Linked DNA regions of Rattus norvegicus. The protein of the gene in region 1 interacts with the protein of each later gene in a pairwise test. Links are inferred from orthologs where the notes say so. Each region holds a gene or a part of one and is shown in the gene's direction. Other genes may lie near its edges. The genes, in order: Sncaip and Nub1.

The links.
Region 2: the proteins of Sncaip (region 1) and Nub1 interact in a two-hybrid assay, tested with the Homo sapiens proteins (2 studies listed by BioGRID). The link is inferred for Rattus norvegicus from reciprocal best matches to the Homo sapiens genes SNCAIP and NUB1.

The regions. Positions count from the first base shown.
Region 1 is NC_086036.1:48,525,726-48,537,959, forward strand, and holds part of Sncaip (synphilin-1), read left to right. Parts: intron 1-811; coding exon 812-981; intron 982-6,349; coding exon 6,350-6,442; intron 6,443-6,932; coding exon 6,933-7,986; intron 7,987-9,152; coding exon 9,153-9,223; intron 9,224-12,234. UniProt on the Homo sapiens protein: Isoform 2 inhibits the ubiquitin ligase activity of SIAH1 and inhibits proteasomal degradation of target proteins. Isoform 2 inhibits autoubiquitination and proteasomal degradation of SIAH1, and thereby increases cellular levels of SIAH.
Region 2 is NC_086022.1:11,337,940-11,350,173, reverse strand, and holds part of Nub1 (NEDD8 ultimate buster 1), read left to right. Parts: intron 1-348; coding exon 349-455; intron 456-6,060; coding exon 6,061-6,244; intron 6,245-7,180; coding exon 7,181-7,288; intron 7,289-8,288; coding exon 8,289-8,441; intron 8,442-10,830; coding exon 10,831-10,977; intron 10,978-12,234. UniProt on the Homo sapiens protein: Specific down-regulator of the NEDD8 conjugation system. Recruits NEDD8, UBD, and their conjugates to the proteasome for degradation. Isoform 1 promotes the degradation of NEDD8 more efficiently than isoform 2.

The DNA.
Region 1 (12,234 bases):
CAAACCAGTTACCCAAAAGGACAAGAACAGACAGACCCACTCCATATCCCACAGGAGCCTCTGACTTTAAGGATGCTTTCTTTTGGACCCCCCAACCATCAAAATGACAAAATACCACAAACACGCACTGTTCCTCTCCTAAAAGGAGGGGTTTGGTAGATCTGTCCCTACAGGCTACAGGTGGGGAAGAAAGTAGTACTATCAGTGTGGTCCTGTCTTTGTTGGCTCTGAAGGGAGAGGCCTCTGACGTCAGCTAGGAAGATCACTAGCAACACCTTTCTCTGAATTGCTGTTTCCCACCCAACACCATGGTCTCTGAAAATTAGTTGGCTTTGGAATAATGAGAAAAATTCTACTCAGCATTCTGTTAAAGTTTTTTAAAAAACAGTGTTTGGGGGGCTGGGGATTTAGCTCAGTGGTAGAGCGCTTACCTAGGAAGCGCAAGGCCCTGGGTTCAGTCCCCAGCTCCAAAAAACGAACCAAAAAAAAAAAAACAAAAAACAAAAACAAAAACAAAAAAACAGTGTTTGGAAGGAAGTCCTGGGGCTTCAACCTTTAAGAGTACTTGCTGTTCTTCCAAGGGTTCCAAGTTCAGTTTCCAACACCTTCACAATGACCAATAACTCCAGCTCTAGGGATCTGATGCCCTCTTCTGGACTCCACAAACACACACACACGCTCGCACACACATGAACACACATGCACATGAACGTACGCGCACACAAATCTGCTTAATAAGAAGAAAGTCCCAATACAATCACATGTTTTGTTTTGTTTTGTTTTGTTTTGTTTTGTTTTTGTTTTCTGGCAGACCCTGGTGGAGTATGGAGCAAATGTTACGATGCAGAACCACGCTGGGGAAAAGCCCTCCCAGAGTGCCGAGCGGCACGGCCACACCCTATGTTCCCGGTACCTCGTGGTGGTAGAGACCTGTATGTCACTGGCCTCACAAGTGGTAAAGTTGACCAAGCAGCTAAAGGAGTAAGTGGCCGCTTGATTCCTGGAGTCTGACTTGGATTTGTTGTGCTTAGATCTCAGGCAAGGGCTTTGGAGCTTCCTTCATTCTGGGTATAAACAGAGTCTGGGTCCTCTGATCTTTTCTTCGATCCTAGATGCTCACAGCCTGTGTTCACATTGAACATAACAGCTCTAAAGAGGAAAAATTAGTATTAAACCACTAGGTGCCGAGCAGGTTTGCCAGAAGGGAATTACTCTTTGTAGAGAGGAAGCATATGTCCACATTCGTGTCACTTCAGGGAAGTGTATCGTGGCTTGGGCAGCTCGCAGGCTAATAACTAAGTTATTTTCCATGGTGAACAGACTCTTACATATGTCTTTATGTTCTTACATAGATTCCTGAAAATAAATTCTGGATAGGGAATAGAGTGGAAGACATGCATTTTAAAAGTATAAATAGAACGGCTGGGACAATAACTCAGTGGTAGAGCAGTTACCTGACATGCCAAGGCCCTGGGTTCAATCCTAAAATGTTGGGGATGTAAGCAGATGTTACCCAATGCCTTTCCAAAAATGTCACAGCATCATCTACTCCCTCCAACAACGAATGGACATATCCAAGAAGAGGAACTTTAAAATCAACCATTAAAGTATTTGTCCTAAAGTTTCACACCCAGAAAAATAGACTTCTTTAAATCTCAGCGTTTATACCCAACTCCAGTTCTTTTTCAGAAGTTGAATAGCTACGCTGCTGTTCTATTAAAGAACTTTACAAAGTCAAATTCCTGACCACTCTACTCTCTCTGTTAGTTATCCTGGGATAAGCAATCCCTAAACCCTGACAGACAACAGTCATTCAGTTGCCTTGGAATCCAAGTGCTATGAGCAAACATTATTAGCCCAGGGACATATATGTAAAGGGCTCCTGTGGGCACTGATTGTTCATGTATTATATACTTCAGTGAAGTGAGAAAACCCAGAAGTGTATATGGAGAAATCCCAAATACACCTTTGGGGCTATGTGTCTTTTAGGTTGTGGGACATTAGTAACAGACAAGGGCAGTTGGGAAATAACTTACAAGGTAGGAAAACACCTGACCTTTGCCCACAGTGAGCTCTGGGACCAGATAGCCTTGAATGCTACTACTGCTACTTCTGCTGCTACTGCTGCTTCTGCTCCTTTTTGCTCCTCCTCCTCCTCCTCCTTCTTCTCTCCCCTCCTCTTCCTCCTTCTTCTCTCCCCTCTTCCTCCTTCCCCACCTCCTCCCCTTCTTCCCCCTCCTCTTCTTTCTTCCTTTCAAATGCTGCTACCAACTGGTTATAGCCATTATCTAGAAATGGCAAACCTCAGCTCTTCTGAAGTTCCTCTTAGTAAGGCCAGGTATTTAGAACTGAATTCTTCCTCAGCCAGGAAGACACTAAGCCCTAATATTTCAGTGTAGCCTTATTTGGAAAAAGATATTCACAGAAGATCTTGAGTCCAAGTAGGGTCATGAGAGTGACCAGTCTCAAGTATTCCTATAAGAAATGGAGAGGGCCATATATACAAAGGGCACATCATGTAAACTCAAAGGCAGTGCTCGTGGGGGGATATCAACCAACAATGAAGCCAGCATTTGCCAGTAAAAAGTAGACCCTAAGGGACAGGATAGACACCACCATGTCCTCAGAATGAACCAACACAGTTAACTTTAATCTCAGACTACTTATGCCTCCCAAACTGTGAGGTGATAATTTGCTTTTGTCTGGGGATGGAGAGATAGTTTAGTAGTTAATAGCACATGTTGCTTTTGCAAAAGATTATTCCCAACACCTACATCATGCAGTTCACAACCACCTAGAACTCTAGTGCCAAGGGATCTGACACCTCCTTTTGACCTCTGAGGGTGCAAGGCACAAAAGCATATATGCAGTACTCACATGTACACATAAAATAAAAATAAAAACTTTTTTTTTAATTTCCTGTTGTTTAAACTACCGAGTTTGTGAGATTCTTAGGGAAATCCTGGCACATTGACATGGTATGAAAATAAAGTTTTCTCTCTGTGTTTAAGGCTGATAGATTCTTTCTGGAAGCTTCTTTCAAATCTAGAGAATAGGGGTGTTCTCCATTGTTCTGGTGATTCCAGTCAACACAACTGATGTCAAATGGGATATTTTTTAATGGTGTCATAATGACTGAAAGGCACCAAGTAAACCTTTTAAAAGTGAATTATATAATCTTCTTCTACCTGCCTTAGCCTCATCACTGTATTTCTTTCCCAGAACCTGGGCATGGCTTTAGAGTGCACACCGCTAACCACCCCACTAGCTTGCTCACGTCCCCAGGGTAGTTTCTCCCTCTAAATAATGTCTGTGTTTTGTTTGTTTTTTATAATTTTTCATTTTATTTTATTTCCTATGTATGGGTGTTTTGTCTGCACATGTCTGTGCACCATGTGTGCACCTGATGCCTGAAGGAAAGACCACTGGATCCCCTGGAACTGGAATCATACGTGTTTATGAGCTACTTATGATTCAAACCCAGGTCCTCTGGAAGAGCAGTTAATGCTCTTAACTACAGAGCCATCTCTCCCAGCTCTCTTAAAATAACACACACACACACACACACACACACACACACACACACACACACTTGAAATGCATCCCAACTAGCAAAGTAAAATGCATTGGGGAGAGGGGGGTTAGTCTTATATTAAGCCAGTGTGAGCAAAAACTAAAGTGGGCCAAGCCTGCTAACCAACTATCTTTGTAAGAAGTTTGGTTGGGACACAGACACTTACACTCATCTGTGTGTTGTGCAAGGTTAAAGTCTTGCTACAAGGACAGAGCTGAATAGTTGTTCTGAAAGCTAAATGACTCCTAAGCCTAAAATATGGGCTATCTGGTCCATTAAGAATGTGCTGGGTCCTGCTTTAGAAAACTTTGTGGGTTTTGTTTTTTGTGCTGTTGCTTAACATTGACCTTGACTTTTGGTATATATATATATATATATATATATATGGAGCTGAGTATATATCTGTACCATGTGTATACAGGTCACCATGGAGACCAGAAGAGGCATTGGGTCCCCCGAAGCTGGCATTACAAGTTGTTCTAAGTATCCCAGGGTGGGCTAGAAATCAAACCCAGGTCCTCTACAAAAGGAGCAAATGCACTTAGCATCAGAGCCATCTGCCAAGCCCCATGACTAAGTTTGAATCAGTGAGTTTGGCAGTATAGGTGAGATGAAGTGAGGTTACAGACTTGACTTGGTTTGGGGGTTGAATTGTTATAAAGAATGCTGACCACTTCTAAGAAAAACAAAGATACTGGGACTTGTAAAAAACACTATCAGGACCTGACTACGTAGAAATATACAGGCATAGTTGTTGAGTGTATGCGCCAATACCATGCAAGAATGGCAGGCTTCTTTTAATTCATAACTAAGCTGTGGAAGCAATAGTAGTTCTTATAACCCCTCCATTCAGTTCATGCCCCAGCTCCTGAGAGCTGTTACTATTTTTATGCTAACCATATTAGTTTCCTGTTGCTTATAACAAACTATCACAAAATTACTGGCTTAACCAAAGACAAATTTACTTTATATTTTTGTAGGTTAGGGGTCAGTAGGGATGTTGTAATGCTAAGGTCTAGGGGTTTACAAGGCACCCATCCTAGAAAACAGGCTGTTGGGCAAACGTAGGTCCTGCTCCTTCAGATTGCTGCAGAATCAGTTTCCTGCATTTGGATGACTGGGTTCCTGCCATCCTTCATCTGCTAGATGGGGTCAGCCCAGCTGCATCCTACAGCCCATAATCCCCCTCTCTATATCTGACATCAGCAGCAGGGTCAAGTCCTTCCCACTGTGAAAGGCTTATATAGTAGGGTAAAGTAGCCTCCATGTGAGACCTTCATATTATATCAGCCATACTCCATATCAATTTCTTTTGCTAATAACACAACATATTTATGTCTTCTGGGAATTTGGGCATAGATAAACATTCTTGGAAAACTGTATCCTGCATTCAATAAATGTGTCTCATTTCTGTAGAATAAGAGTTAATTTGCTTTAATCCCAGAATTTGGAAGGCTGACGCAGAGAGTGCTCTGTAATGAGTTCAAGGCCAGGCCAGTCTAAATGGTAAGCCCTAGGCCATACAAGGCTACAGAATGAGACCCTGTCTCAAAAACTAGATATATAAATAAAACAGAGTCAGTCAAATTAACTAGTCCCACTTTCTATAATAATTAATATATATTTTCTAAATATATATTTTTCTTCCTATAGCTGTGACTTTCACCCTATTTTCTTAACTTCCAAGCACATTCTGTTACACATACTCTTATGTCCAGAGGAAATGGACTCTTACTGCACATAAATTTTCCTTTTCATAAGAGAGTACAAAACTCTGTTACCCAAAGTAAAAGTAGTTATTTTGTGTCGTGTTTAATTATATTTTATGATTAGTAAACTGTTGCAAACACTTTTCAAATTTCTAAGCAAAGTGCCTGCCTTTAATCCCAGCGAGAAGGAGGCAGACAGGCAGAACTCAGTAGGTCAGCCTGGTCTACATAGTGAGCTATCTAGGGCTACACAGAGAGACAGTGCCTCAGAAACAAAGAACTACAATAGTTCAGAAATCATTAGCAACATGTTGAAATCCTTCTGAATCTTTGTTCTGGTGATGGAAGGGAGAGAAACTTTTCTTAGAATAGTAGCTGACATAGCTGCTTGCACCCATCATCCTGGTATTATTGACAGAGACAAGGAGGTGCCCTAAGGCCTGCTAGCCAGCCACTCTAGCTGAACCATGAGCCCCAGTTCAGTGAGAAACCTGTCTCAAAAACTCAGATGAAGAGTGATTGAGTAAAACATGGCAACAGCAAGTCCTGGTCTCCATATGCACATTCATACACATATACACAAACACGCACACGAACACACACACACACACACACACACACACACGAACACACACACACATGCACACACGCACACACACACACACGCACGCACATTAGAATGTATTACACATAGTATTTATAGTATTCCTTTTTCATTTAAGACTAGTAAAGTATAATATACACACAATTATTAGCCAAGTTTTTATATGCCCATAAGTATTCAAATAACAGTGCTTTAATAGTTGCCATTGCAGAAATGATTGAAATTCCTTCACTCGTATTGATGAGCTATTAATTTCTTCATGGTTTGTCACGAATGTGAACAATAACCATCCTTTTCAACACTCGATTGCTTCCTTGGGAAACTGAACCATGAGGATGAAGACTAAACGTTTTTAAGGCTTCTGAGTGGATGCCATTTGCTGAGTTTTCATGAAGAGTCTTCTCCCTCTAGTCTGCCAGCGGCCATGCCTCACACACTGTGTTCCTTGGTTGTCTCCTACAGGCAGACAGTGGAGCGCGTCACACTGCAGAGTCAACTCCAACAACTTCTGGAAGCCCAGAAATCAGAGGGCAAGTCCCTCCCATCTTCACCCAGGTAACCCCAGTCATATTGCTATTTGAATTGTTGGGTATGTGATGAAATCTTTAAATGTTCTTCTAGCATTCTGTTTATTCCATTTAACACTTTTCAAGAAAATACTTTATTCCTACAAACATAAAAGATATCACAATGAAATGTCTGTGTCTGGGATCATAGGACCTGAGGCAGTTTCCAGCCCAGAGTTTCTGTTTCTTTGTGCCACTTGTATTGACCTGTGAAATGAGAACAAGGATGTATAGGGTGATTAGATTGAAGTAATGAAATTCATACAAACGTGGTTCGTAGAAAATAAAACAGACCAATTCTGTCATGCTCTGGCTACAGCTGATAGATTGGAGTCTTTGTTAATTGTTCAGAAGAAAACATTATGTAATCTAATCTTGTTTTCCATAAATCAATAATTGTATGAAAGGTCGTGCAAGGTCTTATGGATGCATCTAGTGCAGTAAGAAACCATCTTATATTTTCTTTATCTTCCTTCCAGTTCACCCTCCTCACCAGCTTCTAGAAAGTCCCAGTGGAAAATTCTAGATGCAGATGACGAGTCTACAGGCAAAAGCAAACTGGGAACCCAGGAGGGAATACAAGTCCTTGGAAACTTATCCAGCAGGGCTAGGACCAAAGGAAAAGACGAAGACTCTGATAAAATCCTACGTCAGTTATTGGGGAAAGAAATATCAGAGAATGTCTGCACCCAGGAAAAGCTGTCATTGGAATTCCAGGATGCTCAGGTATCCTCTAGGAATTCGAAAAAAATACCTCTAGAGAAGAGGGAACTGAAGCTAGCTAGACTGCGGCAGCTGATGCAGAGATCTTTGAGTGAATCTGACACGGATTCAAACAACTCTGAGGACCCCAAAAATACTCCTGTGAAAAGAGTGGACAGACCTAGACCACAGCCCATTGTGGAAAGTGTGGAGAATATGGACAGTGCAGAAAGCTTACACCTGATGATAAAGAAACACTCTGTGGCATCAGGACGCAGGTTTCCTTTTGGTATGAAGGCCTCCAAATCCCTGGATGGGCACAGCCCATCTCCCACTTCAGAGAGCAGTGAACCAGATTTGGACTCCCATTGCCCGAGCCTGGGAATGACTCCTCCAACCCAACCTTCTACAGAAGCCACTCAGTGCAGTCCTGACAGTGCCACTGCCCAGAAAGTTGCTACAAGCCCCAAGAGTGCCCTCAAGTCTCCATCATCCAAGCGCCGGACATCCCAAAACTCAAAACTGAGAGTGACCTTTGAGGAGCCTGTTGTGCAAATGGAGCAAACTAGCCTTGAACTAAATGGAGAAAAAGACAAAGAGAGGGGCAGGGCCCCCCAGAGGACTAGTGAGTCAGGAGAACAAATGAAAAGGCCTTTTGGAACCTTCCGATCCATCATGGAGAGTTTAAGTGGTAATCAGAACAACAATAATAACTACCAGCCAGCCAGCCAGCTGAAGACCTGCACACTACCCTTGACGTCACTTGGAAGGAAGACAGCAGATGCCAAGGGAAACCCTGTGAGCCCTGCTAGCAAAGGAAAGAATAAGGCAGTGAGTGCTGTTTGGAGATGTATTTATGCTTGTATTACTTTTAATTGATTGTGTTATTGTTACTGACTGTGCCATCTTGGAGGAAGGTCACCCCAAGATTCAAAAATTCATATATATTTTAATGACACATGCCAGTTTAAGATGAATGCCCCTGCACTTCCTTTGGAGAATACAGAGAGAAGTGAGTAAAGAAATCGCAGATTAGGTCTGACCCCAGTTTCTTGTGCTTTGGGCATTACAAGTTGTAAGCCAAGAGGCATTTATACAAGATGAAACCACCCGTCAGCATTAAATCAGTCCGCCATTGGCACTGATTCTGTCTCGGGAAGAGTCTGTTCTCCTTGTGGACTGGGTACAAAAGCCCACTTTAAAAGCATATAAACAGAAACCCCATTTCTTCTAAACGACCTAACTCAAATAACCTTTGAAATGAATATCCCCCAGGGACTGCCACATAGCCTGTTAGCACACACATCTCTAAGTGTTGACTAGATACTGGAGAGACTGAAGGGCTTGCCAGTGGACAGGAGAAGGCAGAATGCATTGTGAAGTCATTTATAGCGGCACTTCTTGGAAACCCGCCTCTAAGAATAAGAGATAGGAACATCGTTTTAGGCAGCGATTTCTGCATGCTCTGCGCTTGACATGCCATCAAAAACAGTGTAGCAGCCAAAGTGCAAATCTCTCTGTGGAAGGAATGCCTTGGATCATTCACTCTCCCATTTACTAAACCACCCAGTAGAGCGTCGGAAGCTCATCTTCTACTCCTTGTTGGGATTCCTAGTACAACAGTCTTAAGAGCTGTCTAGATTTCTTGCTGTGGTACCGAATCAAGTTTTACGTAATATCTCTTCAACAGCCCCATCACCAATTTTTAAATTATCTACCATCTCCCTTATTATAAACGACTTTACCACGAATTTGTTTTATCTAGAGAAAAGCATACTCCAGCTAAGACACCAGACTTTTTGCTTTAAAAATTAAAACCTACTTATTCCCAAGTAACTTCAGAGAGTCTCTTGATGAGCAGTAACACTAAAATCATCTCCACAGTTCCCCATACACCTTTTCTCTAATATCTCCTGCATGGCTTGGATTAACCAGGACCTGTGCATGTGATAAGCTTGTTGCATGTTGTCAGATAATTCTTAATTGCACTTCTCTAGGCGATGTACAGCAGCTGCATTCATCTTCCCTCTAATGCGCTGGTCGAAGAGCATCTGCGTGATTATGCACGGTATGTGGCGTAGAGTGCACTGTGCGGCACTGCCATGCCTTTGCTTAGAGTTGCATGAGCTTTGAAATGACGCGACCGAAATGTTTGTAATCAGGGGATATAGGATATAGCACCAAGGGAGAAGAATCCTCTCCCAAAGAGACATGGGTCCCATCCTAGGAAGGTAGCCGGTACCCAATGGAGAGGCTTCATCAGTTGGGAAAGTCTACTCTGTTCACAAACTCACTATGTTCCTTAGTCGACTTTGGCCTTCAGTTTGCATTCTAAGGGAGCTTAGTGCCAAGTAAGTATAGAAATTAAGTTCAGTCGTGGGTAGAAGAGGTCAGCTGCCCTTCAGAAATCAGAATTTCAAGTGTGAGCTGGGGCTTTGTTTCTGCACTACTGATAAACATATCTGCCCATCACAAGAGGAGCATGCCTCTCAGAAGCATGCCTCTGCCGCCGGAAGCTTTCCTGCTTAGTACTGTGAACCACTTCCGGTCCAGAAGTCGTTCTGATGAAGGTCCACAGATAAAATAAGAGTCTTTCACAAAATGTTCACAAGTCCAAATACATAGTCTGTGCTCATATAAGAAAGAAGACCCTGTCACCAGTGAGTGACTAGGATTTCTACTTGGGCAAAACCCTCCTGAGGTTTAGTGTGTTTCCCGACCTGGCAGGAAGTGGGCGGAGTGACCGGAAATGATGTAGTCAGTTCCTCTTGACTAGTTTATTTGAGAAGCATTAAACCTCAAAACCCATTTTAAAAGCAAAGCGTTGGTTTTTAAAACATCTTAGAAATTTAAAAGTCACGACGCAGTATTCAGCATTCCTCCAGAATCCTCCAAAGAATGTGTGTACTATACATACAGATTTTAGTTCAGAATACATAACTTCCAGAAAATGTTTCTCTTTTTGACCTTCCCTAGATCAGAGTCAGTCTGCCTGTGTCTTATCCGGTCTGGGTGGAAAACAAATCTTAGTCATGTTAGCAGGCTATCGTCAGGGGTCTCGTCAGTTCGGTGCATTGAAGGAAGAATACCTCGGATTCCTTATAGTCACCAGTGAGCAGCTGATGGCAGATGGTCTAAATGCAGTCAGGACTCCTTCCCACGACAGAGGTTCCTGTTCAGTGCTGTTCAGTGCCAGGGTTAGAGATGGGAGCGTGACATGGAGAAACCTCATTGTCCTTCCAAACATTGGTACTATCCTGCTTTTGTTCGTCTCAGCTATTCTCACCCCTTTCCTCTGCCTGTCTTAGGTCGGATGTGTCTCCTTGGTCCCTGAAAACTTACGCTTTTGTGCCTGAGACAAAGGAGCACAAAGATTTGGCAAACTCCCTGGAAGCAGAAAGGAAAAATGCCTTCCAGACTCCTAGGGCAACTGGGAACGAGATAATTAATGTCACAGCAGATCTTTCCTGCCAGAAATGTTTCACCCTGCCTTTTTACAAGGAAAGGAAGAAAGCTGGGCATTTCAGTTGAATAGTATTACGAAGACTCAGAGCACAAAATGAGGTTAGAGGGCCACTCGCTTGTCTGAGACAACCATAACACTTTCCCACTGCACTTAGGGGACAGTCCTTCTAAAGACTCGGTTATTAAGCTAGCAGATTCGCTGGCCTTGTATAGTGAAAAGGTTTGAATTCAATGCTAAATAGTTGGAAAATCCAAACTATGTATAGTCTCAGTATTGAGTTAACATCCAGACCTCATCTCACTACCCCATATCTTAATATATACTTTATTTCGGTTTTAGTTTAATATGGGTTTCCATTAAAATCCAGGAAGTCCAGTTTGTTGTTTCCTTTTCACATTGGAGAGAATAAACTTTTATTATCATTTTATTCATCACTTGCACACAGATAGCACCAGCCTCATCTACTCCACAGACAAATCAAGGATGCCTTTCTGCCTGAAATCAAGGTTCCTCAGAGGAATTAAGGCTAGGATGAGATGTGTAAACGAACAGGACAGAAGTAACTCTGGTGCCTGCAGCATTTACCTATGGGAGCGGAGTGCAGAAGTTCACCTATGAATGTTGACTTCAGATCTTGACCGAAGAACTTGCTAGAACAGCAAGTGGCTTCTTAAAATAGTGTAGGGACACCTAGACTTTGAGTGAAGATGTCAACAGCTCCCTGTTACTGACGCCCCTGTCAGCAGATGTGGTGTGATATTAGCTCCAGGATTCTGAAATCACAACCTAGTTTCTAAGAATTTTTTTTAATGTTTTTATTGCTAAAAGAAAAGTAGAACCAGTAAGTGCAGCATCTTAAAGAATGAAATTCAGTTCTGTACCAGGGTTCTGATGGCTAGTTAAGTTTTCTAAATTGGTCACAGGGTGATAGCAGAGTCTTGAATTTCTTTTCAGTGGCCCTTAACCTTATTGCTTTGAACAACCTTCTCAGCATCTCAACTCCAGAAGATGACTTAGAGGAAACAGATTAATCTTTCCTTTTTGTCTTTCAAGAGGATAAGTTGACTGAGTTTTTACAGTACCAAAGGAATGTGTATTATTACTGGTCTAAAATACCAATGAAGCATCCATTTGCAAGTTTTGGACTGCCTAGGGTAGCTTGGTCCAGAATATGGCTACCTCCAACAACACCCTCTCTAAGCCGGTGACACTCTTTCTTGAAGACCCAATCCTAGCACCAACATAAGAGGACTCCTTAAAAAGACATGAAGCGATCGAAAATTAGACTGCTTTTTATTACCTATGAATTAGCCACCTTAAGACTTATACATACAAAGCCAAGAGCTAATGTCAAATATTTTGCATAGATTCAAGGTATCCAATGCTACTTCAAAGAAAATATTTTTGGCACAGGGCTGGGACAGATGTCACTCTCCCAGTAGTTTGCTGATGCTCATAGAATGGAGAGAAAACTCTTCCTCAGAAATGAAAACTACCCAACCAGGACACATTCTTTAGTATGTTCAGCCCAATTTAGTCAGTCAATGATGATCAGAAATCCTAAGACAAACAGCTCATTTCTCCATCTCCACTCTGTTTTCCTCATTCCTGAA
Region 2 (12,234 bases), on another chromosome or scaffold:
GCCTCCATCCTGTCATCCTCCCTCCTCAGCATCCCAGCTGGGATCACAGCCCACAAGAGTTCCTGGTCGCTCATGCCTAGTCTTGAAAACTGAAGCCCATGGCTCAGCAGGCAGAAGAAGACCTGAAGAAACCTGGGGGACGCCACTCTCACAGCTTGGCTTGAGAGGCTGCAGGGCCTCACCGAGCTAAAGCTCTCTTTGGAGCTTAGCTAATTTGGGTTTTAGATTGAGTTGTGTTTGGTTTTTGCCTTGCTTTTCAGTAAAGCTAATACACTTTTTAACTTGTTTTATTGATGTCGTACTAACCTGTTTGAAAGTACTGTTTTAAAATTTTACCTTCTTTCCTAGGCCCTAATGTTAGCCATGGGGTACCATGAGAAGGGCAGGGCTTTCCTGAAAAGAAAAGAGTATGGGATAGCCTTGCCATGCCTTCTGGACGCCGACAGATACTTCTGGTAGGTGCTTTTGCATTCAACAGACGATACTGGTGTAAGGGTAGGCCCCCCCCAGCACCCTCCTACCTGTAACTGCAGACTGACTTCCACCCCATAGTGGTTTCTGGGAGTGAGGAGTTAAGGCACACACCAGTATGTGGTGGTTTCCTCCTTTGTGTTTCTGACTAGCCCCCTTGCCTGTGCAGAACACCCACTCATTTCCACCCTAGTGTGTAGGCTGTAGGCTCAGCACCCACAGGGTACTGCCACCAGAGCTGTTGTCACACTGCTCCTTACCTTATGAGTGTGTCAGTGCGGACAGTACTGGCCCGAACCCCACAGCCCTGCAAATGTGACTGTGGCACTCTTCTGCAGTTGCTGCTGGATTACTAGGAGAAAAAGCCTTTGCCTTGTGTGTGTTTGGTGTTGGTGGGGTGCAGTGTTCGCAGGAAGCAAGAGAAATGCCAGGCCCCTTTCATATCACTTCCTAGTCTGCAGATTTAGTTGCTTCCTTAAAGTCGATCAGACTAAGGTTTGCTTTTCCTCTTCATCAGTGTTAACTGCTGAAGCTGAGTGAATTCTGCTATCCCAGCACGCGCGCGCGCGCACACACACACACACACACACACACACACACACACACACACACACACATATTTTAACATGAGCTTTTACACATCCGATGTGCTTCATATTTCTGTGCGTAGTTTCTCTACCTGGGGCTGGCCCCCATTTTCTTTTTCCCTGGTGCTGGTAGTTTCTGAAATTTCCCAGGGTTCCTAGTTCCTGTCTGTGGAAATGGTAGAGAATGTAATCTGTGCAGGTTGGATACTGAGACAGAATGGATTCTGGGAAATGGTCAAGAGTTAACAGCCTCATTGTGGATGTTGTTTGGTGAATTCCCATGACAATCTTCTGTGTCAAAGAAAACCCGAAAGAAATGTTTTCCACCTGCAAAGGTCAGAGCTGTTGGGTCTTAGATGTGCAAATCTCAAGCTAACCTATCCAGAGAAGAGATTTATCATCCCAAATGCTTGGAGGAGATGGAAGGGCAAGGCCGGGAGGAGCAAGAAAGCAGTCTGGGCCGCCTCAGGGTCCTGCCCTGGACTCTGTCCCTGCTACTTTGTTCTCTTCTGAGGCAAACATTGGAGTGTGAGTTGAGTTCTTAGAGGTGAGGACAAGGTTCCATGTCTTTGCATAGTCCTTAATAGAGAAGATTTCAAATCCGTGGAAGCAGCAGCTGCTGTGGTGAACTGCTGTGGTGAACTGTGAACTGTTGTGGTGAACTGCTGTAGTGAGGGTTCATAGTCTGGCTGTAGTGGGTGTCAAGTAATAGTTTTGATTCCTCTGTGTAGGCTTTTTTCAACCTTTTTTCCCTGGACTAATCACTGAAATGATTTTCAGGTCTCAAAAGACCTCAGTGAAAATACCCGTGTCATTATCATGTTACATGAAGTTAAGTAGCAGGTGTCAGTGCCTTTAAAGGATGCGCAGTCATCTTTCCTTTATGGTCATGAACGCACAAGGTGACTGGCGTAGAACAGGGTTAATTGGCTGAGAGTTTAGAGGCTTTAGCTCATAACCAGTTGTTCCTCTTGCTTCCCTGTCCCTCTGTTTCTGCTGCTTTGTGGTGCATGTGCATGACTGAGGAACTGGGCTGAACACCTCGGCGGCTGCAGTACTAAGAGAAAGAAAGACTAGCCACCAGTCTTTGTTCCCTTCAAGGACATAAAACCTCCTACGTGTGCCACTTCCTGAAGATTTCACTCACTTCGTGACTGTGCTCGGCCCAAGCTGTCATGTGTTGCCCTTGGGGAACATTCCAGATACAGTGGTAGAGAATCTCTCTTGTGGGAATCTGTTGGTTCTGGCCAATCTGCACACATATGATTTCTCTTCATGAAGGAAGTTAACTGTAGCAGGAGCCCCGGTGCTGACGGAAGAAACCTCAGCGTTCCATTTTCTTCCCTTATTTCCTAAGTAAACTGAAGTTCATGACTTTTTACTCATCTTACGTGCAGTGGCTACTGTGCCAAGAATAGTTTCTTTTTCCTGTGTGTGTGTGTGTGTGTGTGTGTGTGTGTGTGTGTGTGTGTGTGTGTGTGCGCGCGCGTGCGTGCATGCGTGCGCGTGCATGCATGCGTGTCTATGCATGTGTGTCTGTTTGTCTGGAAATCAACCAGGTCTTGTGCTTTACTGTGCACCATACCCACAGCTCTCTTTGCCTGATGGAGCAACAGGACTAGGTTTGCTGTGTCATGTGAAAAAGCCTGGCAAAATAAAGCAAGCAGCAGCTCCCAGCAGTTCAGGATGGGCAAGGACAGGCAGGGCATCGGCCCCAAGCAGAGGTGGAGCTAGGTGTCCAGGGACAGGGCCTGAAGTTCCCCTTGAGTGTCCAGTCTGTGAGCAGCGTCATATGGGGAGAAAGCACCCACGGCTGGATAGGGACTGCTTGGAAGTAGTAGCAGCAGGTGGACCCTTGGTGCCCACAGAGGATCAGGAGCAGTTTGTGACAACCCTGGTCACAGGGCAGCAGGTGGGGCTTTGGAAGGAGTTGTCTCAGCAGGAGCCCAGAGACCGCTGTGGTCCCCAGCCCTGCCTCAAAGCTTCTGAAAGGGAAAGGGAATAACACTCGGAATGTATATAAGAAATACTCAAGTTAATTAAAAAAAAAAAAAAGGAAAAAAAAAGGCGTGAACAGGTGACAGGGCGGTGTGGGGGCTGTGCAGAGGCTCACAGTGGATCTCAGGTGAAGAGTGGGGCAGTGCATAGGGTGCAGAGTGAGCGAGGCAGAGACAATAAGAGAATGAAGGAGAAGCAGTGGAAGCCTTCCAGTGTGACAAAGATGGCTGAGATGGGAGGAGGCCTTGAGAGCTATCCCACACATGACAGTCTGCTTCCTTACCTGTTTAGCTTAGAGTCATAAACTCATTAGAGAGCGTAAGAAGTTCTCTGGCGCTGGAGAGAACTCGGTAGTTAAGAACACGGGCTGCAGCCCTGTAGGAGGACGAGCAGTCAGTTAGCCTGGATCCTGAGAACTCTGATTCTGGATCCCCAACCAGGCAGCACACACCAGCTGAGCTGAGGTCTCTAACATATACAGCAGAGGACTGCTGGGTCTGGGTTCAGTCAGAGAAGATTCACCTACCCCTCAAGAGACTGGAGGCTCCAGGAAGTTTATGGGTCTGGTGGGGTGGGTGGGGTGGGGACATCCTTGTAGAGATGGGGGGAGGCAGGAAGGAAGTATGGGATATGGAGCAGTCGATGGAGCAGTCGGAGGGTGGCCCATGCGGGGAATAGAATCTGGAATGTATAAATAAATAAAGACAAACACTGGCTGCTCTCACAGGACCCAGGTTCAGTTCCTAGCACCCATATCCAGCGTCCGCAACTGCCTGGGAATCCAGTTCCTGGGAATCCAGCACCTGTAAAAGCTTGGGGCTTTTCCACACCCCATGAAGGCCTTTATACTTCTATATAAGCCTCAGGCACTATAGCTGGGCACATTCTGATCTATTCTAACCTGGCCTGCTTCCCACCCCCACTTAGTCTTAGTCTTGTTCCAGCACCTCCGTCGTTCATGGCAGCTCCCCATGACCACCTGAGTCCTCTCTCCTCTGGGAACAGAAGCCCGCCTTTCCCTCTCCTGCCCACTCTAGGCTGGCTGGTCCTCATGCTGAGTCAGGAGGTGCTGCATCTTAGTGACAGTACCAGGGTCCGGACTGCAGCCAGCTACAGAACGCCCTCTTCTGGTCTCCACAGGTACTGCATGGACACATACACAAAACACACACCAGTAAAAATAAGTAAGCAGTCTGAAGTCAACTTTAGTGTTTTCATTTTAAAATTGTTTCAACATGAAAATTTGTTGAATAGCAAAACTTTTGAAACTGCAAACCAAGTCATTATTAATAGAAATACATTTTTTTTGGCTTGTTTTTTTTGAGACAGGGTTTCTCCATGTAGCCCTGGCTGTTCTTTAAAACAGTTTTATGCTGGGTTTTTTTTTTTTAAAACTTTTCCTTCCCAATTGTCATGATCAGGTTCAAATATAAGCCGATCAGGTTCAAAACTATAGTGCAGGTGTTGGTTTCTTTTCCTTTCTTCCCTCCCTCCCTCCCTCCTTCCCTCCTTCCGTCCTTTCCTCTTTTCCTTCCTTCCTTTTTTTGAGGCAGAGTCCTGACTGGTAGTCTTAGTTATTCTGGAACTCTAGGCAGACCAGGCTCACCTCAAACTCCAGAGATCCACCTGCTCCTGCCGCCTGAGTGCTGGAATAAAAGACGTGCGTCAGTGTGCCCAGCTTGGTTTTCTTTTCTTTTTTTTTTTTTAAGTAATAAATAAAATGTACCCCTATAATAGGCTACCTGGGCTTTGATACATTTTGGTTTTGTGTTTTGGGCACACATGATTCAGTTCTGGGTCATTTCTGTCCTTGTTGCTGTTTGTCCTGCAGGTATTGAAAGAACCTTTCATAGGCCTCAGAAGCTAATGCATGGAGAGTGCCCATTGCACTCTGAGTGATTCAGCCTTTCTGTCTCAGGAAAGTGAACCTGTCAGGGCACAGATCAGGGTGTCTCCCTTGATGTGAGAGCAGATTTCTACCTACAGCCTTTCTGCCTCTTCAAGTCAAGCTTTCAGGCTGTGTTGATGATGCTCTTTCCATGGGCTTTCTCCCACTATCTCTCTGTCTCTGTCTCTCTGTGTGTGTGTGTGTGTGTGTGTGTGTGTGTGTGTGTGTGTGTGTAGCAGCATGGCATGTATGTGCTCAGACACTCATGACTAAAAGGAATGCTAGAAGAGACAGGGAAGAAAGCATGCGCGAACACCATTTTCCATGCTCTTGCCCCCACTGGTCTGTGCAGCCTTGTGGGGTGATAACAGATCTGTTTCATTGGGCTTTTGGATGAACATGTCTTGGTAGGCAAGCAGAGGGAAAAGCTCCTACTTAACGCATCCATTGGACGTAGCCGGACGGAGCTCTGGAGTCAGCGGTGTGGACTGTGGTTGCAGATGTGTTTCTGTCTTGAGGACGAGGTCTGCGCTCTGCACTGAGCATTAGCCTAACTTAAAGCATAAATAAATCGTTTATAGCGTCTTCAGACCTTTCCCTGTGTCTAGCTCAGCCTGTTCATGGGCCCGCAGCAGTCAGCTAGGCATTTAGCCTGGTGTTTTCCAGACTGTTCCCCCAGTGAGAAAGTCCCTGAGCATGAATGTCTCAGCAGAACTGCCATCAGCCGGGGCAGTTTTAGGAAGTTGCAGGTTTCGGGGTGTCTTTACAGCCATGTTAGTCACCTAGGGAGATTTTAGCAATAGGACATCCAGCTCCTGTCGTGGAGAGCTTTGTCACTCTTGTCCTGATTAGGCCTTCAGCATCAGTCTCCCCAAAGAAAGACTCCCGTGTCTTGGGGATTGTAAGTCACAGCCAGGACTGGAAGCCACTCTGTCCTGGGCCAGAGGCCACCATGCTGCTGTCAAGACCCCTTATTCCTCTTTGTCCACTCAGAGGACCCATATTGTAAATAAAGGCCCCATTAGTTAATTCTAGAGACACACCAAGAACTAAAAGGCTTTCCAGGGACCCCTGAGAGCTGAAGGGCTCTGCCATGACAGCTTCCTCCTCTTGTAGTGAGTGCAAAGAGCTGCTGGACACTGTGGACAACTATGCAGTCCTCCAGCTGGACATCGTGTGGTGCTACTTCCGCCTGGAACAGCTGGAGTGCCTTGATGATGCAGAGAAAAAGCTGAACTTGGCCCAGACGTGCTTTACAAACTGTTACGGGGAGAATCACCAGAGACTGGTCAACATAAAAGTATGTCACTGGGATTGGTCGTCTCGGCCTGCCTCCGGGGCCCATCTGCCTTGATGTGGGAACTGCTGCCAGAGGTGGCTCACCCGGGCACAGCCTATCATACCTCGTAAACCAGAGCTTTAGCAGCTGTTAAGAGGTTCATGAACCTGGCTGGGGTGTGTTTGTTTCTTTATTGTTATGTTTTCAGGGTTTTTTTTTTTATTTGTTTTTTGGTTTTGTTTGAGACAGTCTCATGTAGCCCAGGCTGTCCCTGAATTCTTTTTTTTTAAAATATTTATTTATTTATTATATATGAGTACACTGTCACTGTCTTCATGCACACCAGAAGAGGGCATCAGATCCCATGACAGATGGTTGTGAGCCACCATGTGGTTGTGGGGATTTGAACTCAGGACCTCTGGAAGAGCAGTCAGTGCTCTTAACCACTGAGCCATCTCTCCAGCCCATTTCCCTGAATTTTTTTTTTTTTTTTCCGGACCTGGGGACCGAACCCAGGGCCTTGTGCTTACTAGGCAAGCGCTCTACCACCGAGCTAAATCCCCAACCCCTGTCCCTGAATTCTTAATCCTCTTGCTTCCACCTCCAGAGTGCTGGGCTTACAGTATACACCACTGTGCTGTTGAGTTTAGTCTTGCTGCTTCTCTGGTGGGTTTTAAAGACAGAGTTTACTAATTGTAGACCACAACTCTCAGTCTGACCAGGAGAGAACCAGTGACTAAGTCATGACCTGTGAGGGCTAGCGTCCGATCAGGTGTTCTGACTGATCCCTTCCATGTGGAAGAGATACAGCCTGGAAGTCATCCCTTCACAGCAGTGATGCCCTAGGCATTCTAGTACTGCCATCTTGCTTCTGTGGAGAAACGGCAGTACAGCAGTGACCACGTGACCCTTTAATGAGAAATAAGACTGCTTATTCTTTTCTCCCAATAACTTCAGGGGAACTGTGGGAAAGAGAAGGTGTTGTTTTTAAGACTCTACTTGCTTCAGGGAATCCGAAACTATCACAGTGGAAATGGAGAGGAGGCTCGGGAATATCTCAACAAGGTAAGGAAGGCCCTGGGTCTGCCCACCTCTGCCTGTGCCTTGGCAGTGTAAGACTTGCTCACGGGCCTACACCTCCCTCCCTCCCTCCCTCCCTCCCTCCCTCCCTCCCTCCCTCCCTCCCTCCCGTGCAGCATGAACACGTGTGTCTGTGAGGGCTCAGGCAAGGGGCTGTAATGAAGACTCCTCAAAGTGGTAGTGGCTGTAAGTGGGTGGTCCTGCCCTGCCTCCCCCAGCAGGCCCAGCTAGAGCTCTGCAGGCTCCCATTGTCCTGCTACTCCATCTGCCACCAGCAGAGAGGGCCAGAGAGCCAGAGCAGACCTGCACATCACAAAGAGACTGCCAGGGCTGGAGAGAGGGCTCAGTGATGAAGAGCACAACCGCTTTTCCGAAGTTCCTGAGTTCAATTCCCAACAACCACACCATAGCTCACAACCATCTATAGTAGGATCCAATGCCCTCTTCTGGTATATCTGACCGCGACCATGTACCCATATATAAAAAGTAAATAGAGAGAGAGAGAGAGATACTCTGACTGCCTGCTATTGACCTTGTAACCACGCAGCCAGCCCAGCTGGGGGAGAGATAGATGCCATTTGCAGCCTGTTTTGAGATAGGGTCTTGCTGTGCGGCCCTTATGGCCTTTGCCTCCTGATTGTGGGGATGACAGGCCTGTGCTACCACAGCCGGCTGAACTCAGAATGTATGAAAGGGGGGAGAGAGAGAGAGAGAGAGAGAGAGAGAGAGAGAGAGAGAGAGAGAGAGAGAGAATGAATATGAATGAATATGTGCGTGCTCCGGCACTTCTCCAGCATCCCACCTGCCCATTTGCGCTATGTTATGGGTACATTATGCAGGCAGACATAGTGTTTGTTTCATTCCTTATGGTAGACAGGTCATACAGCAGTAATTCACATTTGATAGCCTCACTCCCAGCCTTTAGCTCTGCCAAACTTTAATGTCGCTGCTGTCTAGTGAGTCTTCTGCTTCTTCCTGTTTGTAGGCACGTCAGCTCTTTAAAGAGCTGTACATCGACCCATCGAAAGTTCACAACTTGTTACAGTTGGGGTTCACTGCCCAGGAAGCACGGCTGGGCCTGCGGGCCTGTGATGGGAACGTGGACCACGCAGCCACTCACATTTCCAACCGCAGAGAGGTGGGTTTTCCTTTCTCGCTGCAGCACCCAGGAAGCTCCTACTCTTTGAGGTTATGAAACAAAAACACTGTAACTTTATATCTGAACTGGGTAGGAAAAGACCGGACAGAGGCCAGAAGAGGGGGCTCGGGGTCAGGAGGGCAGGGGTAATAATGCATTGTCTTCCCTTTGTTTGAGACGGGCTCATGTAGTCCAAGTTAGCCTCAAACTTGCTCTAAAACCATGGGTAACCTTCCTCTGCTGATCCTCCTTGCTGGTACCTATGAGGGCTAGGATTACCTGGTTTTCTGCAGTGCTGGGAAAACCTGGGGCTTCCCCAATGCTAGGCAAGTGTCCACAGCAGGGCTGTCTTCCCCCCCCCCCCTTTTCTTTTTTTTGGAGCTGGGGACTGAACCCAGGGCCTTGGGTTTGCTAGGCAAGTGCTCTACCACTGAGCTAAATCCCCAACCCCACAGCAGGGCTGTCTTAATCATTCTGGCTTGAACCAGAACCAGGGCAGTTTCCTATCATGGTGGCAGTTAGGCCTCTAGTCTCCTCTCAGGATCTTGCTCAACACTGTAGTGTGTTTCCGAAAGTTATTTCAAAAGTGGCTATGATATGATATTTAAGATGCCTTCAGGGGTTGGGGATTTAGCTCAGTGGTAGAGCACTTGCCTAGGAAGCGCAAGGCCCTGGGTTCAGTCCCCAGCCCCGAAAAAAAGAACAAAAAAAAAAAAAAAAAAAAAAAAGCCTTCTTGCCTGGAAACATCAGATCATAAAAATGAGGTCTGAAAAGCTACAGTCTTTATAACAAGTACACACACACACACAAAAGCTTTAGAATTCTAAAGACGAAAAAAGGGGCCTTGTCATACCCAGTTGTACAGAGAAGAATCTGAGGTCCAGAGAGCTGGTGATGTGGTCAGTCTTCTCTCAAAGCTAGAAACTGATAGTTTCCTGGGGCTTTCTAGCCAGAGACTCTTACTGTATGACTCTTAACAGCAGTCAGTGGGCCGCAGTGAGGTAGGAAAAGCCAGTAGTCATGTGGGAATGGATCTGTGTGTTGATTGTGTAGTGACCTGGCAGCAGGGCTGTGTGATTGTCTCACCACAGTCAGCCTCAGCTGTCCAGTCATGGTCCCTGGCCCTTGAAGCAGACGTCAGGGACGGCTCAGGTATAGCTGGCTCTGTACAGTGTAGATCAGTACCACAGCATTTCCACCTGTTGCTGCTCTGCCAGAAGGATGGGCTCAGAGGAAAGCTGCTGTTTTCAAGTGATTTCTTGGAAAATGGTGTAATACTTTGTAGTTCATGTTGTCCTCCCAGTTGTGATATAATCCAGCTCTCCCCATGACTGATCGTGTTGCAGATGAGGTGAGCTGTGGCTCACAGGCTGCCTCCTCAGGGTCGGGGAGAGTGGGGGGGGGGCGGGGGGGGGGACTTCTCAGCCAGGAAGGCCCTTGCTGTGAAGCCTGATCTGAGTCTGTCCCCTGGGCCCATGTGACAGGAGAGACTCCTACAGTTTGTGTACACACACACACACACACACACACACACACACACACACACAAAAGTGAAAACACTGCAGAATGCTGGGGTACATAAGACACTGGGCCTTCGCACCACAGACTCGATGTGTGCATGTGTGTGTGTAAGCACGTGCATGTCATACATATGTGAATTAAGTTGTGATCTTCAGAGAAGAAGATGGTGATTCTGGTGTTAGGTGGGTTGGTTGCCGTGTTGCTGAGGACCTGGTTTCTGTCTCTATTCCCCCCTTTGTGTCTCATCACTCCCTGAATCACCAGTCCTTGAGCTTCGTGCTGATGAACCAGCCAGCCTTGGACCTCTCACTGAGGCTGGGATGAGCTGAGACCATTCAGAGCCCCATTGGGAGCTGGCCAGGGCGGGTGATGTTGGAGGCACACCTGGTGTGGCACAGAAGAGACATTCCCAAGGGAGCTGCCATCTCACTTCCTGCAGCTCTGCACAGAACTAAATGGAATCAGGGTTTTCTTTTCTCTCCTGCTATTAGGGATAGAATCAGAGTGTCACTCACGCTGGCAGCCACTCTATCCTAAGTGGCGTTCTTAGCCCCCTGATTTGAATCCCTGGATAGGTAACCTGAGGTGGGGATGACCCTCCACCCCAGCAGGAAACTCTGGTGTAGCTGCCTGCTTGCGGTTCTTAGCCCAGCACTGTAAGGATCTACCTGTCTCAGGATATGCTGTGCTGACTGTTCCCACTCCTGGGCCTTAGCCCAACCCTAACCCCATCCCCGTGCCTCCAGCCACTTTTCTAGGCAAGGATAGGTAGAAGTCCCTTTCTGTCCCAGCCCAGAGACCCTGAGACATCCTGCAGATTCCTGTGCTGCCTCCACCTCTAACTCACAGGACCTTGTTTTCCTAAAGGAACTGGCCCAGATACGGAAGGAAGAGAAGGAGAAGAGGAAACGCCGTCTGGAAAGTGTCAACACTTTGAGAGGAATGGGCTACTCCACACAAGCTGCCAAACAAGCCCTTCACCAGGCCAGAGGCAACCTGGACGATGCCCTGAAGGTAATGCTTGCAGTTCATTGTGTGCAGCCGGGCATTCCCCTCCAGGCTGGCTCCGGTGCCCAGCCTTCCTGTGCGCATCCCTCCTGTACAGTCTTTGTACAGTTGGGGTGGGGTGCAGTCAGGTCTGCTGTCCTCCAGCAGAGCCAGTGACGGCCCTGGGCACCTGGCCTGGGGCTTTAGTGACTGGCCTTTCCAACTCGCAGGGGGTGTTCCATTCAGTGTTAGCTGTGCTTGAGTGGAAGGCTGGTTTGCACATCTGCTTTACTCTCTTGGCAAGAGGGCTTGTAAAAGACTGCAAGGTGACAGTGCAGCAACAGTGTTTCTGGCCAGTCTCGGTCAAGAGGCACAGGAAGCTCTGTGCTACAGCTTGGACACTGCCCTCAACTGCCACGAACCAGTGGTAGGCAGATGGATGCACAGGCGCAGCAGGACAGTATGCTGTCCTGGGACTCTTGGGATGGGAATATCACTAGTGGCAGGGCTGGCCCAGCAGGGACCAAGGACAGTATGTGCTTCAGGCAACAGCCCACAGCATCCATGCTCTGCCTTGGGAAGCTCCAGTTGCACAGTGTTTGCTGGAGTGCATGCATATATGCTTGCATGTGCTTGTGTGTGTGTGTGTGTGTGTGTGTGTGTGCGTGCAAGCACACATGAATACGTATATGTATTTTATTTTTTAAGACGGGGTCTCACTATGTAGCCCAGGCTGTCATGGAACTCAGTATGTAAACCAGGCTGGTACCAAACTCATAATCTGCCTGCCTCTGCCTCCTAAGCATGGGTACATGTGCATCACCATGCCCAGATCATACATATTACAGGTGTGCATCACCACATCCAGATCATACATATTACAGGTGTGCATCACCACGCCCAGATCATACATATTACAGGTGTGCACCACCACGCCCAGATCATACATATTTTAAGTTACAATGTTATCTGAATATGAAGCTTAAGGTTTTGTGTTGGACAGACAGAAAAAACAGGGACGTCTAACCCTCCAAAGAAAGCAGTGAGATTCACACAGTTAATTCAAGAAGGGCATGGGCTGGAGAGACGGCAAGCATGAGGACCTGAATTTGATACCCAGAACCAGGTAAAAATGCCAGCTGTGTGGGCCATGTCCTTGCACTAGGAAGGTAAAGCAGGCTCCCTGGGTCTCCTGGCCAGCTGAGCCCTTTTCCTGCTTCAAGGCAGTCTGCGCACTGTGACATTGTGCACTCATGTGCCCCACAAGGACGGTCTGGGCTGTGT